4 linked regions of the Saccharomyces cerevisiae S288C genome follow. Changing the gene in region 3 together with the main gene of any one other region gives a genetic interaction. Each region holds a gene or a part of one and is shown on either strand. Other genes may lie near its edges.

What was found.
Region 1: mutations in IAI11 (region 3) and IZH1 together harm fitness more than expected from each alone (negative genetic interaction), as found in Saccharomyces cerevisiae (2 studies listed by BioGRID).
Region 2: mutations in IAI11 (region 3) and YME2 together harm fitness more than expected from each alone (negative genetic interaction), as found in Saccharomyces cerevisiae (2 studies listed by BioGRID).
Region 4: mutations in IAI11 (region 3) and PHM8 together harm fitness more than expected from each alone (negative genetic interaction), as found in Saccharomyces cerevisiae (2 studies listed by BioGRID).

What each region holds. Positions count from the first base shown.
Region 1 is NC_001136.10:1,433,317-1,436,402, reverse strand, and holds IZH1 (PAQR-type receptor), read right to left. Parts: upstream 1,480-3,086; coding exon 529-1,479; downstream 1-528. Other genes in the region: MZM1 (Mzm1p), read right to left, coding at 1-186; serine/threonine protein kinase PKH1, read left to right, coding at 2,135-3,086.
Region 2 is NC_001145.3:869,529-874,446, forward strand, and holds YME2 (Yme2p), read right to left. Parts: upstream 3,098-4,918; coding exon 545-3,097; downstream 1-544. Other genes in the region: ATP-binding cassette Fe/S cluster precursor transporter ATM1, read right to left, coding at 1-99; alcohol dehydrogenase ADH2, read right to left, coding at 3,763-4,809. UniProt on the Saccharomyces cerevisiae protein: Plays a role in maintaining the mitochondrial genome and in controlling the mtDNA escape. Involved in the regulation of mtDNA nucleotide structure and number. May have a dispensable role in early maturation of pre-rRNA.
Region 3 is NC_001134.8:108,836-111,770, reverse strand, and holds IAI11 (Iai11p), read right to left. Parts: upstream 1,178-2,935; coding exon 892-1,177; intron 823-891; coding exon 527-822; downstream 1-526. Other genes in the region: protein phosphatase regulator SHP1, read right to left, coding at 1-334; CMC2 (Cmc2p), read left to right, coding at 1,232-1,265, 1,351-1,646; Arf family guanine nucleotide exchange factor YEL1, read right to left, coding at 1,776-2,935.
Region 4 is NC_001137.3:224,240-227,354, reverse strand, and holds PHM8 (bifunctional nucleotidase/lysophosphatidic acid phosphatase), read right to left. Parts: upstream 1,467-3,115; coding exon 501-1,466; downstream 1-500. Other genes in the region: Smc5-Smc6 complex subunit KRE29, read left to right, coding at 1-497; ATP-binding cassette family ATPase ARB1, read left to right, coding at 2,156-3,115. UniProt on the Saccharomyces cerevisiae protein: May be involved in phosphate metabolism.

The sequences.
Region 1 (3,086 bases), on a different chromosome or scaffold from region 3:
AACAGCCACATCCTCTAAATGTTGAATCTGATCCTCTGTGGTGAGTTTAGGATCTGGGGGACATAACATTCCTGAACGCATTTTAGCTCTCGCGGCTAGTAATACTTCAGCATCATTCCGGAAAGCTATTCGGGTTGCTCTTAAGCCATGCCTGTATGCATTCAGGGCCTTTGTTCTCGTGCTCATAGTGTGTTAAATTTATATAATTTGTTCTTTTTATTCTCTTCAGTGAAACGCAAGCGTACCGAAAAATATAAGGAAGTCTTTTAGTCCTATCCTTTTCTCTTCCTCTCTTTCCTTTGTAGTAGGTTCACTTATTCAAACGTTTAATTTTTCGGCATTACTCACTTTAGTAAGACCAAAATTAATTAGGCTAATATAGCGAAGTACCTGTCAAAATGCGATCTATGATAAAAGCATGATGTGACGAATATCTAAAAAGGAATAAAGACTTTTTTTGCATTTAATTATTTTCTAACCTTAGATATATAATGTTATTTATTTGATTTTGTAGTAGTTGTAGGCCCATCAAGGGTGGATATGAGAATGCATTAATTTGTAAGAATCGATAATGGCTTTCAAGTGGCATACAGAACCAAGAACCACCATAATATGAAATATTTGATGAGAGCTACCGAAGAAATCGAACTTCCCTGGAGCCAAAGTTTCAGGAATCCTAAACCCGTAGATTACAGCCCCTGAAATGTAAAAGAGAGCTTCCCAAAACACAAAGCTGACTTTTATTCTGTTAAGAACCCCTTGGATACCGAACTTGAAAAACCCTGTGGTCAATGGGAGTAAGCCACTAAATCCAAACAATATGAAAAACATGGCCCTAAATGGACGAAATGTGGAAGTGTTAAACTTGTCGTGGAGGACACAGACTGTACAAAATGTTGCCAGGACTAAAGTAACAATCGTGAAAAGACTGAAGTAGGATATGTGGTCGAAGTAACCAAAGTATATTATAGGGATCATAGAACAGGAAATCAAACTGATAATCCCCAAGTAGTCGAGCTTGCTCCAGAAATTGCTTTGCTTTTCAGAGTGTTGCTTCATGCAGTGGAAACAGCTACTGCACATGAGACATGAGAAAGCGCCCATCAAGAAAATGTTTATAACGGTGTAATCGGACCAGGAAGTGGAGGGGAAAACGGGAATTAGAAAGTAGTTGGTCAACGTAATGGCAAACACGAAGTATACGATAGCCGGTACCAAATGTGTATAAATGTTCACAGTCTCGTTGTTCCAATAAAATAAAGAATATAAGCACTTTTTCCATGACAGTGTTTCACGAACGTACCCGGTGAGAATTTTGTCATTATCTTTTTGCCATTCTGGCAACTCATCGAAATTGTGTAGCAGTTTTTGCTTTTCAAAAACTGTCTGGCCTGAGACAGCTTCCACCTTAATGGAGGCTCTCGTTGCCTTGCAGCAGACACTATCTTGGTTTCTTCTTCTAGTAGTGGTGATACTCATTTTTTTTCTTCTTTTATCTTGCTTGACTCAATTAAGGCGACTAATAACAAAACGAATGACGAAAATGGAAAACAATAGAAAAGTTAGGAACCAGAATCACTTTTGTAAAGTTAATATTGCGCTTGCGGAGCTCCTTACTGTTTCAACTGATGATACTGATATGCCTTTAGAAAAGAAATCAAATTCTATTAACAGAAGGGTGCCAACATGTACGTATATATATATGTGTGCGTGTGTATATATGTCTGACATATACATGAGTAACCGGCTAAGTAAGGTTTTTACGTTGATTGCTGCATCCATCGGTCGTGAGTATTGTCAAATTGCCGATGCCCTGCAGGCAAAAAAACCGTTGAAAAATCGTTGGGAAAATGGGCTTGCCCGACTGTCGGATTTAAGGGCTTGGACCCTAAAGGTTGCATGATAAGACCTACTTATTTTAGCATATAACCCTATAAAGGTGAAAATCTCAGTAGGGTTATTTTCGTTTAAGGGAGCATGAAAAATTCAAGTTAGTACATATTAATGGCTTTGAGATATTGCGGAGTGACAACAAGAGTAATACAGAGCAGGCGAGAAAGTAACGCTGGACAGTCACTATCTGGTACAACTTGCGCACGTGTACTTGCTTGAATACTGCTACTATATCATTAATATGGGAAATAGGTCTTTGACAGAGGCAGACCACGCCCTGCTGTCCAAGCCCTTGGTACCGACATCTGCGGAACATACACAAACGCAAGAGTATCCTCGTCCTTTCGTAGATGGCAGCAATTCTCAGAGCGGGTCTGAACTACAGGCTTCTCCACAAGGTCAGTTTGGAGAAAAGGCATTGACTAGTACTAATCGCTTCATTCCCCTGGCAAATGATGACCCGGGTATGCAGCACGAGATGGGTCTTGATCCCTCAATGAGGCGTAGAAGAGAAGAATGGGCAGAACGTGGTGCGGCAAAAATCGTCAAAGATGTTGTCGACCCAGCTACGGGGGAGTTAACTAAGCATGTTGTCAAGATGGGAATAAAGGACTTCAAGTTTGGAGAGCAACTCGGGGATGGATCATATTCTAGTGTTGTTCTGGCTACCGCCCGTGATTCGGGCAAGAAATATGCAGTAAAAGTGTTGAGTAAAGAATATCTGATCCGTCAAAAAAAAGTTAAATACGTCACAGTGGAGAAATTGGCTTTGCAGAAGCTGAATGGCACCAAGGGCATATTCAAGCTTTTCTTCACTTTCCAGGACGAGGCAAGCTTGTATTTCCTTCTAGAATATGCCCCCCACGGTGATTTCTTGGGCTTGATTAAGAAATATGGATCTTTAAACGAGACATGTGCACGCTATTATGCGTCGCAGATCATCGATGCCGTTGACTCCTTGCATAATATCGGCATTATTCACAGGGATATCAAGCCCGAAAACATATTGCTCGACAAAAATATGAAAGTGAAGTTGACGGATTTTGGTACAGCCAAAATTTTACCGGAGGAACCTTCGAACACCGCAGATGGCAAGCCTTATTTCGATTTGTATGCTAAGTCGAAATCATTTGTTGGTACCGCAGAATATGTTTCTCCTGAGCTACTGAATGATAATTATACAGATTCCCGTT
Region 2 (4,918 bases), on a different chromosome or scaffold from region 3:
CACAGTAAATATAACGGGCGAATGGTTCCGGATTAGACCAGATCTAAATTTTGATCTTACAATTCGCCCAATTACAGGACATCTTGGAAGAAGCAGCATTTGCAGGTTGGAGTGGAATCTATCAACAACGATATACTTACGTTGCTCTGTCGCAATTTTCGAAATTGTACTCTTTGCTGTGCTGATTGCTTTGTTTGCGATTATTAATGTAGAAAGTCATCGGAAAGCCCTCGCGCTCTTTCCCAGTGAAATTTCACGTGATGTAATCTGATGAAGGGCACGTATAGGTCAGTGACCTTTGCTGTGCAAATTGGGTAAGGTAATTTCTTTTAAAGACTTTAAGAATGGTAAAGTGAGGTACAACAACATATTATAAGACTTACTTGGTATGTACCTTACCTTCCTTAGATATTTTTCATGCTGCGTAGAAAATTGCACCATCTCCAATCGTCACTTTTATACATTTTCAAAAGAATATAGATGAGTATAGCAATATAGGGTTTACACATATGTACAGAAAAGCAGAATAGTAAGTTTTGTTTCATCACTTAGATAGGTTTTTAATTTCTTCTTCACATTTGGTAATGACTGCATTACTGGCATTGATTTTACCGGATAAATAGTCCAATCTGGTCTTGAAAAGTTTCTGATCAGGAACTTTCCCCAAAGGTTTTAATTCTTCTTCCCATTTCTTGATTCTACCAGTTTCAAAACCCACAACCTTTAATAAGTAACGGGTTTTTAGCACTTTTGCGAGTTCAGGATCGTTGATCAAGTATGTGAATGCTGCCCTGTATAGCGGTTTGGCAGGCCTGATTTCCTGTAAAACACCCCTATCTCTAGATACAGTTATTAAACCATTATTCTCCAATTCCATGATTCCCGTTTCTGGTGCGGCTTTGAATAATGGCTTGTTAACGATTTCATGGAATGGAATGACTGGGTTCGCACTCAATAATTCGATTAATTCCCAGGCTTGTGCACTTTTATTGCTGTCAATCTTGTCACTTAAAAACATTTGAGTTATTTGCTCAGAAGCCTGTTCAATCATTTTGTCTACTGCTTCCGAGGGCTCTTCTCCTGACTTTACCCTTCTTACAAATGCCTGTAAGTCTAACATCCTACCACCCAATGGCTCTAAAGAAGCGTCAATTTCCTGTAATTCCTTTTCATTTAAAATAACCTCAGCTTTTTTGACACTCGTATCGGCCTCACTATCAGAATCATTATTTTCAGCAGTTTCCTTTTCTGATTCAGGTTCTTTTACGTTTTCACCCTTGGATTTTTTATTGTAATATAAGTAATCCTCCAATTGGGATAATACATAGTTCCTCGAATTCTCTTTTGAGGCATCTGATAGGATTAGGTTTTTGAAGACTTGATTGGGTAGTGATTCGCTCAATCTTTGGTTGGATGCAACGGTTTCCGTTAAGAAAATCACATGAGCAATATTCATTTGAACTAGCATAGCTGCCCAATCGGATAGTTCCTTATACACAAATCCATTTATTTCCGACTTGCCCTCAAACCTATCTATGACGATAACGGGTTTAGCTTCCGGATGTTGCTGTAGGTAATCTTCTTCCTTAACATTAACTGTCCCATCACCGGTGGAAACAAAAGCCTTGTAATTCTTGAGAGCAATACGTCTAATGGACATCAATGAGGTAGTTAACATGTTTCTAAACCGAGATTCCTTCGTCTCAGACAACCCAGTTTTTTGCCCTGTTAATCCTTGCACTGTTAAATCAAGGACACCTGTGACAGAGTCAATCCATGGGAATATTGGGAAATAACCCAATTGACTAGCGGCATTTTTTAAAAACATAGGATCTGTTCTGGACTTAATCAATTTATCACAATCCAAATACAAAACATTTGCTCTATTTTGCAAAGTGTGTTGCATGACCAAATCATGTTTCCCTGAACCTCTAGGCCCCCTTATAACCACAAAAGTATTATTATTTTCTTCAAGCCACATTTTCAGGTCATTCACTTTCTCTATTCTTTCCTCCCATAAATGCTTTCTTTGGTGATTATCATCAGGGCCGCCCCAGTAGTACTTGATAGAAGTCATGGTAGATGAGGTTAGCGTTTTCAGTTGTTTCCAAAACTTATTGTCCCACGATAAAGAATATTTGTGAGTGATCTTCTGTTCAATCGAAAATTCTCTTATAGGATCAAACACTAAAACAGCAAAGATTGAAAGTAGCGCAAATAAAACTGGAATAGCAATCCTTGTATGGTTGGTGAAAAAATTACTAACTAGATGGCCTCTTCTGATATTTTCGTATTGTATGTGTAAGACGGTATTATGAATTTCGATACCGGAAACACAATTCTTGGCAGAAATGGCACCACGGAATGAACGGTATCTTACCTTTGCCACATTGTTGTTAGCAGCAGTGGGAGGGAAAATATCAATAATTGTCCCATATCTTCTGAATAAAGAGTATATTTCTTCTTCTGTTAAGGCGGGCCCTTGGAACTTGATGACTATAGTGGTACTTGGTAGTCTTCTTAAATCCTCAATCCAAGGCGAACCCTTTACTGGGAAGGCAGAAGCTCGAGTGAAGTACGAGAGTAAGTTTTTAGAGGATTCTCTGGCTGTATTCTGTTGGATTAGAGAATTTACCTGAGCTTTTGTATACTTGGGTGGAACGACAAATGTGGCAAATACACCACCATCCCTTTTCACTGGAATGGTAGACTTCAACTCCAGTCCATAAATGGGGTTATTGGGTGGACTGGCTAAATTCCTTATTTTCTCCCTCACTGCATCCCGTGACTGGTTTCTTAGCAGGAGATTGTACCACAGTGTTGGATTCCAAACCGAGGTGGTTCTAGCGTAAACATTATCGAAATATATCAGAGTTTCTTCATCTGATTTGTGAATAACACCAGTATCGGTGGCGGTGTTTGACTCTCCTGCCTGCTGATCCTTTTGCTGGATCTCGCTCGACACATGTCTCACTGAGGGTTGGGCATTCATCAGGTTCGCTAGTCTATATTTGCCCTTGAGGATGCCTATTCCTCTGGCGAGGCATGGCACTGGCATCCTTGACACATTCAGGGAAGTCGTTCGTACTAGCAACATGGTTTACTTTTACAAATACTACTTCCTGTATAGGCCCGCTATATTTTGGTTTTAGATCCTGTCAATACTGAGTTCATCTTTCATTTTCTCAATATAACATTACCGTTATCTCCCTTATACTTCTCAAATTCCCATCTACGGAACCCTGATCAAGCCCTGAGAAACTATATGAGGGTGTGTACATTGCAGTGCATCATTTGTGAGGGTTCAATAATTGAAATTATAGGGTGGACGTCAAGACGAAAAGTGAAAAATTACATCCGTATAGAATTATATAACTTGATGAGATGAGATGAGTAAATGACAGAAGAATTACCGTTTCATCATTGAACTTCGATCATTTCAATGCTGGCATGCGAAGGAAAATGAGAAATATCGAGGGAGACGATTCAGAGGAGCAGGACAAACTATAACCGACTGTTTGTTGGAGGATGCCGTACATAACGAACACTGCTGAAGCTACCATGTCTACAGTTTAGAGGAATGGGTACAACTCACAGGCGAGGGATGGTGTTCACTCGTGCTAGCAAACGCGGTGGGAGCAAAAAGTAGAATATTATCTTTTATTCGTGAAACTTCGAACACTGTCATCTAAAGATGCTATATACTAATATAGGCATACTTGATAATGAAAACTATAAATCGTAAAGACATAAGAGATCCGCTTATTTAGAAGTGTCAACAACGTATCTACCAGCAATTTGGCCCTTCTCCATCTTTTCGTAAATTTCTGGTAAACTGGATAAGCCAACTACCTTTATTGGAGACTTGACTAGACCTCTGGCAAAGAAATCTAAGGCTTCTCTGGTATCAGCTCTGTTCCCCACGTAAGAGCCGACAATGGAGATAGACTTGACAACGTGGTTGAAGACATCAGAGGAGCACTTTGCACCGGCTGGCAAACCAACCAAGACAACAGTACCGTTCGCCCTACAGTATCTGGTAGAAGCTTCGATAGCGGCTTCGGAAACGGAAACATTGATGATACCGTGGGCACCGCCGTTGGTAGCCTTAACGACTGCGCTAACAATGTCCTTCTCTTTGGTGAAGTCGATGAATACTTCACCACCGAGCGAGGTAAACAATTCTTCCTTTCCTGGACCACCATCAATACCTAAGACTCTGTAACCCATCGCCTTAGCATATTGAACAGCCAAAGAACCTAGACCACCAGCAGCACCAGAAATGGCCGCCCAGTGGCCTGCTCTCAAGTTGGCAGACTTCAAAGCCTTGTATACGGTGATACCAGCACACAAGATTGGCGCGACTTCAGCCAAGTCAGTACCTTGAGGAATGTGAGCGGCTTGAACAGCGTCAGCGGTAGCGTATTCTTGGAAAGAACCGTCGTGGGTGTAACCAGACAAGTCAGCGTGAGGACAGTTGGATTCGTTACCCAATTCACAGTATTCACAGGCCATACAAGAACCGTTCAACCATTTGATACCGGCGTAGTCACCGATCTTCCAGCCCTTAACGTTTTCACCCATGCCGACAACGACACCGGCACCTTCGTGACCACCAACTAATGGTAACTTAGTTGGCAATGGCCAGTCACCATGCCAAGCGTGCAAATCGGTGTGGCAGACACCAGAGTACTTGACGTTGATTAACAATTCGTTGGGCTTTGGCTTTGGAACTGGGATATCCTTATGCTCCAACTTGCCGTTGGATTCGTAGAAGATAATGGCTTTTTGAGTTTCTGGAATAGACATTGTGTATTACGATATAGTTAATAGTTGATAGTTGATTGTATGCTTTTTGTAGCTTGATATTCTATTTACCAAGAAGAAACAAGAAGTGATAAAAACAACAAGAGAGCAG
Region 3 (2,935 bases):
TTGGTTCAGGAGAGGTAGAACCTTTCCTTTTCAAGTACTCGTTGCTACCTTGTGAGGATCCTGGTTTTGGACATAACCCACCAACGTGCTCCGTATTTATGGCTTTATTCGAAGAGTTGGTGGAGAAGGCTTCTTGCTTGAGGGCCTTCTCCTGCTGTCTGTTCCAATGTGCTTCCTCTCTTCTATCCTTTTGGTCATCCGTTTGAGAAGCATAATAGGAATTTAGTGCTTCATTTAAATCTCCAAATTCAGAGAGATATTGAACGGCTATGTTATGCGACACATTGGTCAATGCCATGAACTGCTGGATGGTTTCATCAGGTATTTCCGCCATACCTAAATAATGAGTTAATTGTTGTGCTACCGACGTTTCTTATATATTTAAATCGAAATATGTTAAGCATACAACTATTAAACCCCTTCCGTTCTTTATTGCCATCGATTTTCGCCACCAATAAGAGTTCTAATGCGGGTAACACATATAAGTAGTGGAATATATTATTGAAACTACTACTATGGTATAACACTATTTACAAAGAGATGAATTGTGTGTCTTAACTAAGCTGTCCACTACTTGCTGGCTTCTTTTATCCAGAGGCATGTTTGTCACTACAAATTCGTTGTTGGCACGCCTTTCCAGACGTTGCTTTAGTTCCTGAAATGATGAAACATCCCAGCTCCAACATGTCCCTGTGATGCCCATACCAAATATACCTAGTGTCATGCCCGTTGCCGCTAAAAGAGAACCTGCAAGACTCTTTTGTGTGTGTGTTATTGTCTGCGTCCGGCTGGCGTAGTTTGCTTGAAAAGTGTTCAATGGCACTATGTAAATAAGTTATGTTAGTAAACGTGTTCTTTGAGTATGAGGCCGAAGTTATTGCCTATGCATACCTTTTGCAGTTATCATTTTCTTCATGGCAATTCTACATGTTATAAGTGTAAAAATAGTGATTCCGAAGAATCGTGTCATCTGAGTTTTCCTCCTCTTTTTATAGTCGTCTATAAAATGTGTGACTTCCTCACTACTGATTTTGGGCTTGTCGTTTCTGCTCACTAACATTATTGTTGGCCAGTCCTTTATTTCGAATTTTCTTCTTGTGTTTACATTATGTTTCAATTCGCATATTACATTAATAGAGAAAGACCTATTAAAAAATCGCTGCGCGTCCAATAACATTCACTGATTTACAAGTGCAGTTGAACAAAAGCAAGATAAGACAAGTACTACAACATGCATCCACAGTTAGAAGCTGAACGTTTTCATTGTAAGTATCCAGATTTTACTTCATATATTTGCCTTTTTCTGTGCTCCGACTTACTAACATTGTATTCTCCCCTTCTTCATTTTAGCCTGTTTGGACTTCATCAATGCACTCGATAAATGCCATCAAAAGGAATATTACAAGAGAATATTTGGCCTTTGTAACAACGAAAAGGATGCTTTGAACAAGTGTCTCAAGGAGGCAAGTTTGAATAACAAGAAACGTGCTGTCATTGAAAGTAGAATAAAGAGAGCTGATGTAGAAAAGAGATGGAAGAAAATTGAGGAAGAAGAATATGGCGAGGACGCTATATTAAAGACTATCTTAGATAGACAGTACGCCAAGAAAAAGCAGGAAAGTGACAATGATGCGAACTCGAAATAAAAGCTTTTTTTCTGTCGCTACTTCATTCACACAAATCATCTCAATATCCCTTGTAAATAAAAGGCAGAGTACAGTTTTCAAGTTTATATTTCTTCAGCGCAGTCTTTATATTTATATCTTTAAATATACTTAGAACTGAACAGAACCCATGGCTTTTTGCAAAGCTTTCAAGTAGCTCAGTCGTTTCTTATATTGATTATTCATATACAAATATCTCGAATTCCAATTATTCATGACTGCTTCAAAATAGTTATCGTCAAAGCTCCAAATTTCGACCAGCTTATCCTTTATTTCGTTATGTTTATCTATCCATATACCAAGCTGTCTGGTGAAGTTCATCAATTCCTTTAGCCTTTCTTTTAGTTCGACCATCTCTACATCTTTCGCATCTTCGTATAGTAGCTCTAGCCCCAATAGTGGCTTCCATTCACTTACAACAATATTTTTAAGATTGAGGGAAGCGTGCTCTGTCAAGATCTTGTCACTCCATCCATATTCTGCGTTAGATACGGCTTCGAATTGTGTTAAAGGAACTGGAGAAATCCTACCTGCCCAGAAGTTGATACAGTCCATAAACTTGTGGGCTTCTTCAACACTTCTCGTCTGGAACTCCAGAACAAGCTTTGGTCCGTTGATATTCTCTGGAAAACTAACGGTAAAGTTGCCACTTTTCCTCTTGGTGTTTTTGTTACACACATTTGATTTCATTGCTCCACTACCTATAATTATATTATCTTGCACGACATGTGCTTCAGCTTCAAGCAGTGAGTAAGCAAAATAAGAGCTACTGATATCTTTGAAATAGTCGATGGTAGCACTGTCTGTTTCACTTGATTGGATGATATCCTTAACATCTGGTTTAATTTTGAAAATAAAAATTCTGCCCTCCTTGACCTGTATTTTCACCCTCTCCCATTCAGAATCCTTATTCAAATACGATAAAGAAGTCCTTCTAGATGTGTGCTCAATAAGTGTAGTCGTTTTAGATGGTTTTAGCCATCCGAAGAACGATTTGTTTCTCTTAGAGGTCATTTTTGGTGCCGCCACTTGATCTTTGTCTCTTTTAGAATATTTACGTGGTAAAGATTTCTTGCTTATAAGAATTAAATCGTCCATGAACCAACTGGAGCCGTTTTCGGTAATTAAACCGTCATCAAAAGACTCTTTAAGGTAGAGTGCATCCATGGGGTGATTATTGTGAAAGTTTTTATTTGATTTTGCGCTCATTTCTCGTACAGATACTTGACCATCTCTTGAATATAGTGTAGTAGAATTAGAGTTAACACTAC
Region 4 (3,115 bases), on a different chromosome or scaffold from region 3:
ATGATGATGTTAGAGAATTCTTTCTGAAAGCCTTCATATGTTTAATCTTGGATAGAAAGGTTTTTAACGCTATGGAATCGGACCATAGACTGTGTTTTAAGGTCCTGGAATTATTTAATGAGGCACATTTCATAAATTCATATTTCGAAATTGTGGACAAGAACGACTTTTTTTTACATTATAGGCTACTACAAATCTTCCCTCATTTACAAAGCGCCTTGCTCAGGAGACGCTTTAGTGAAAAGCAAGGTCGGACTGAAACTATACAGCAAAATATAATCAAAGAGTTTAACGAATTTTTTGATTGTAAAAACTATAAAAATCTACTATATTTTATTTTAACGATGTATGGCTCGAAATTTATTCCTTTTGGTCCCAAATGTCAAGTAACAGAATATTTCAAAGATTGTATTTTGGATATTTCTAATGAAACGACAAATGATGTTGAAATTTCTATCCTGAAGGGAATATTAAATTTGTTTTCTAAAATCAGGTAACAGTCATGATGACTGAACATTGATCTGTTGATTTGACCAGTTGACTGCTTCCCCTTCCTCTTCCAACTCTTCCATTTCCTTTATGGCAATAGAGGATGGACGGTAAACTTCAACGTCCATTATCAATGGAATCTCAAGGATATCTTTCAATATGGAAAATTGTTGCTTATTTTTGTGGTCCTTAGTAACAATATTTTCTGACTCATATTGGTAATCCTCTATCAAATGGATAACATGGCCCATCCCCATGCTCAACGCGCTCCGCACATTGCTTTCGTTGTCATCAATAAACCAGGCATTTGCAAAGCTCGACAACCCACTTTGCAATTTAGCTGTTTCGAAGAATTTTGGATCTGGCTTGCAAATGAATTCTTCCTCGATGGGTCTGTCGTAGTGGCAATAGGTTATGCCGTCAAATAGATCAGCAATACCTAATATTTTAACACATCTGATGGCATGATTTTTGTACGAGTTTGTAAACAGCCATAGTTTGTCAAATTTGCCGAGCTTCTTTTTCTTTAAATTGATCAGCAGCTCCCTTAACTTCCAATCAGGCTTTAAATAGTCTTGCAAAGGTAAGGAATCATCGATGAATGTATTATATTGTAGGACGTCATCAATTTGTTTATTCTTTATTAAACCTTTCACGGATAATCCATATTCTTGATAATACGATTCGATTAGGCGTTCTGCCTCATCGTCGTCAAACCCCAATTCGTATTTAAAGAAATTTGATAATGATTGTTGCATGAGCAATTGTACCTTCGTAGATTTTCTGTACAAAGTGTTATCGATATCAAAGAAAAATACTTTTCGAGCAGGATCCGGATCCGGTAATTTGGGAGGATCCACCTCGAAATTGATTTGTGAGCCTAGATGTGTCAAGCTTTGCAAATGCTCCTGATTTAGTCGTATCTGCTTTTTGATTTGGTTTCTATAAATTGTTCTGTAATCTTTAGCGATAGTCATGATTACGTGCGTATAAAACTTATGTGTTTTTTATCTACATTAAATCTTTTACCAACTATGCGTTAAACCGAGTTCGTATATACATATATATATATATATATATATAAACATATATTTCTATACATGTACGAATGTATTACATATGCTAAATGTATGTATATACATTATATGCACATCTCCTAATAATGAGCCATTTCAGTATTGCGGCAAATACGGAAAAACCCGCAGAAACGATCGTACAGATCCAAGAACTTGGTTTGTATGTGAAGCACGTTGCTGCCCCCTTTTTTTCTCAACCATCTCCGGCGGCGACCGCCGGCTTTTTTCTTTCTTTTTCTGGAAAAAGAAAAACCCCCTATATCACCTTTGACGTTTACTCACTAAATACGAAATGCATTACCCTAATCTCACTTTAAACGAATGAAAAAAGAAAGGTGAGGGGGGAGACCGATGGAAAAAAAAATAAAAATTTTTTTCTTTTTTTTTTTCTTCGTTCACCTCATCTCAATTAATGGCTTTTCCTTGACGTAGTTCAGGTAACTTGGTAGTGATTCTCTTATAAAAAAAAATATTATCATATTTAACATGTTAGTGCCCGTGTAGTTTTTCTTCTTCTTTCTTAACTTTTTTCTTGCAAAAATTGTTTTCTTCCCCTCAGTGCTACAAACAGTAACTTGACAGAACCAAATATGCCACCAGTATCTGCGTCAAAGGCCAAGAGAGATGCTAAGAAAGCTGAAAGAGAGGCTAAGAAAGCCGCTGCCGGTAAAACCATCAGAAAGCTAGGTAGAAAAAAGGAGGCTGCTGCTGAAGAATCGGAGGTAGATGCAGCCGCTAGAGAAATCAAGATGATGAAGTTGCAACAAGATAAGGATGGTCTTTCAGATCGTGTTGTCACTGGTGTTTTGAGTTCATTGGAGACTTCCCGTGATATCAAGCTATCTTCTGTTTCTTTACTGTTCCACGGTAAAGTTTTGATCCAAGATTCTGGTTTAGAATTAAACTACGGCCGTAGATATGGTCTTCTGGGAGAAAATGGTTGTGGTAAGTCAACATTCTTAAAGGCTCTTGCTACTAGAGAATATCCTATTCCTGAGCATATTGATATTTATTTATTGGACGAACCTGCGGAACCAAGTGAATTGTCGGCCTTGGACTACGTTGTCACTGAAGCTCAACACGAATTGAAAAGAATAGAAGACTTAGTCGAAAAGACTATCTTGGAAGATGGTCCTGAGTCCGAGTTATTAGAGCCTCTATATGAAAGAATGGACTCTTTGGATCCAGACACCTTTGAATCTAGAGCTGCTATCATTTTGATCGGTCTAGGTTTCAACAAGAAGACCATTTTGAAGAAAACCAAAGATATGTCTGGTGGATGGAAAATGCGTGTTGCGTTGGCAAAAGCTCTTTTCGTTAAGCCAACTCTATTATTGTTGGATGATCCTACTGCGCATCTGGATTTGGAAGCTTGTGTTTGGTTAGAAGAATATTTGAAGAGATTTGACAGAACTTTAGTTTTGGTGTCCCACTCTCAAGATTTCTTGAACGGTGTTTGTACCAATATGATTGACATGAGAGCTCAAAAACTAACTGCTTACGGTGGTAACTATGATTCTTATCACAAGACAAGATCCGAATTGGAAACC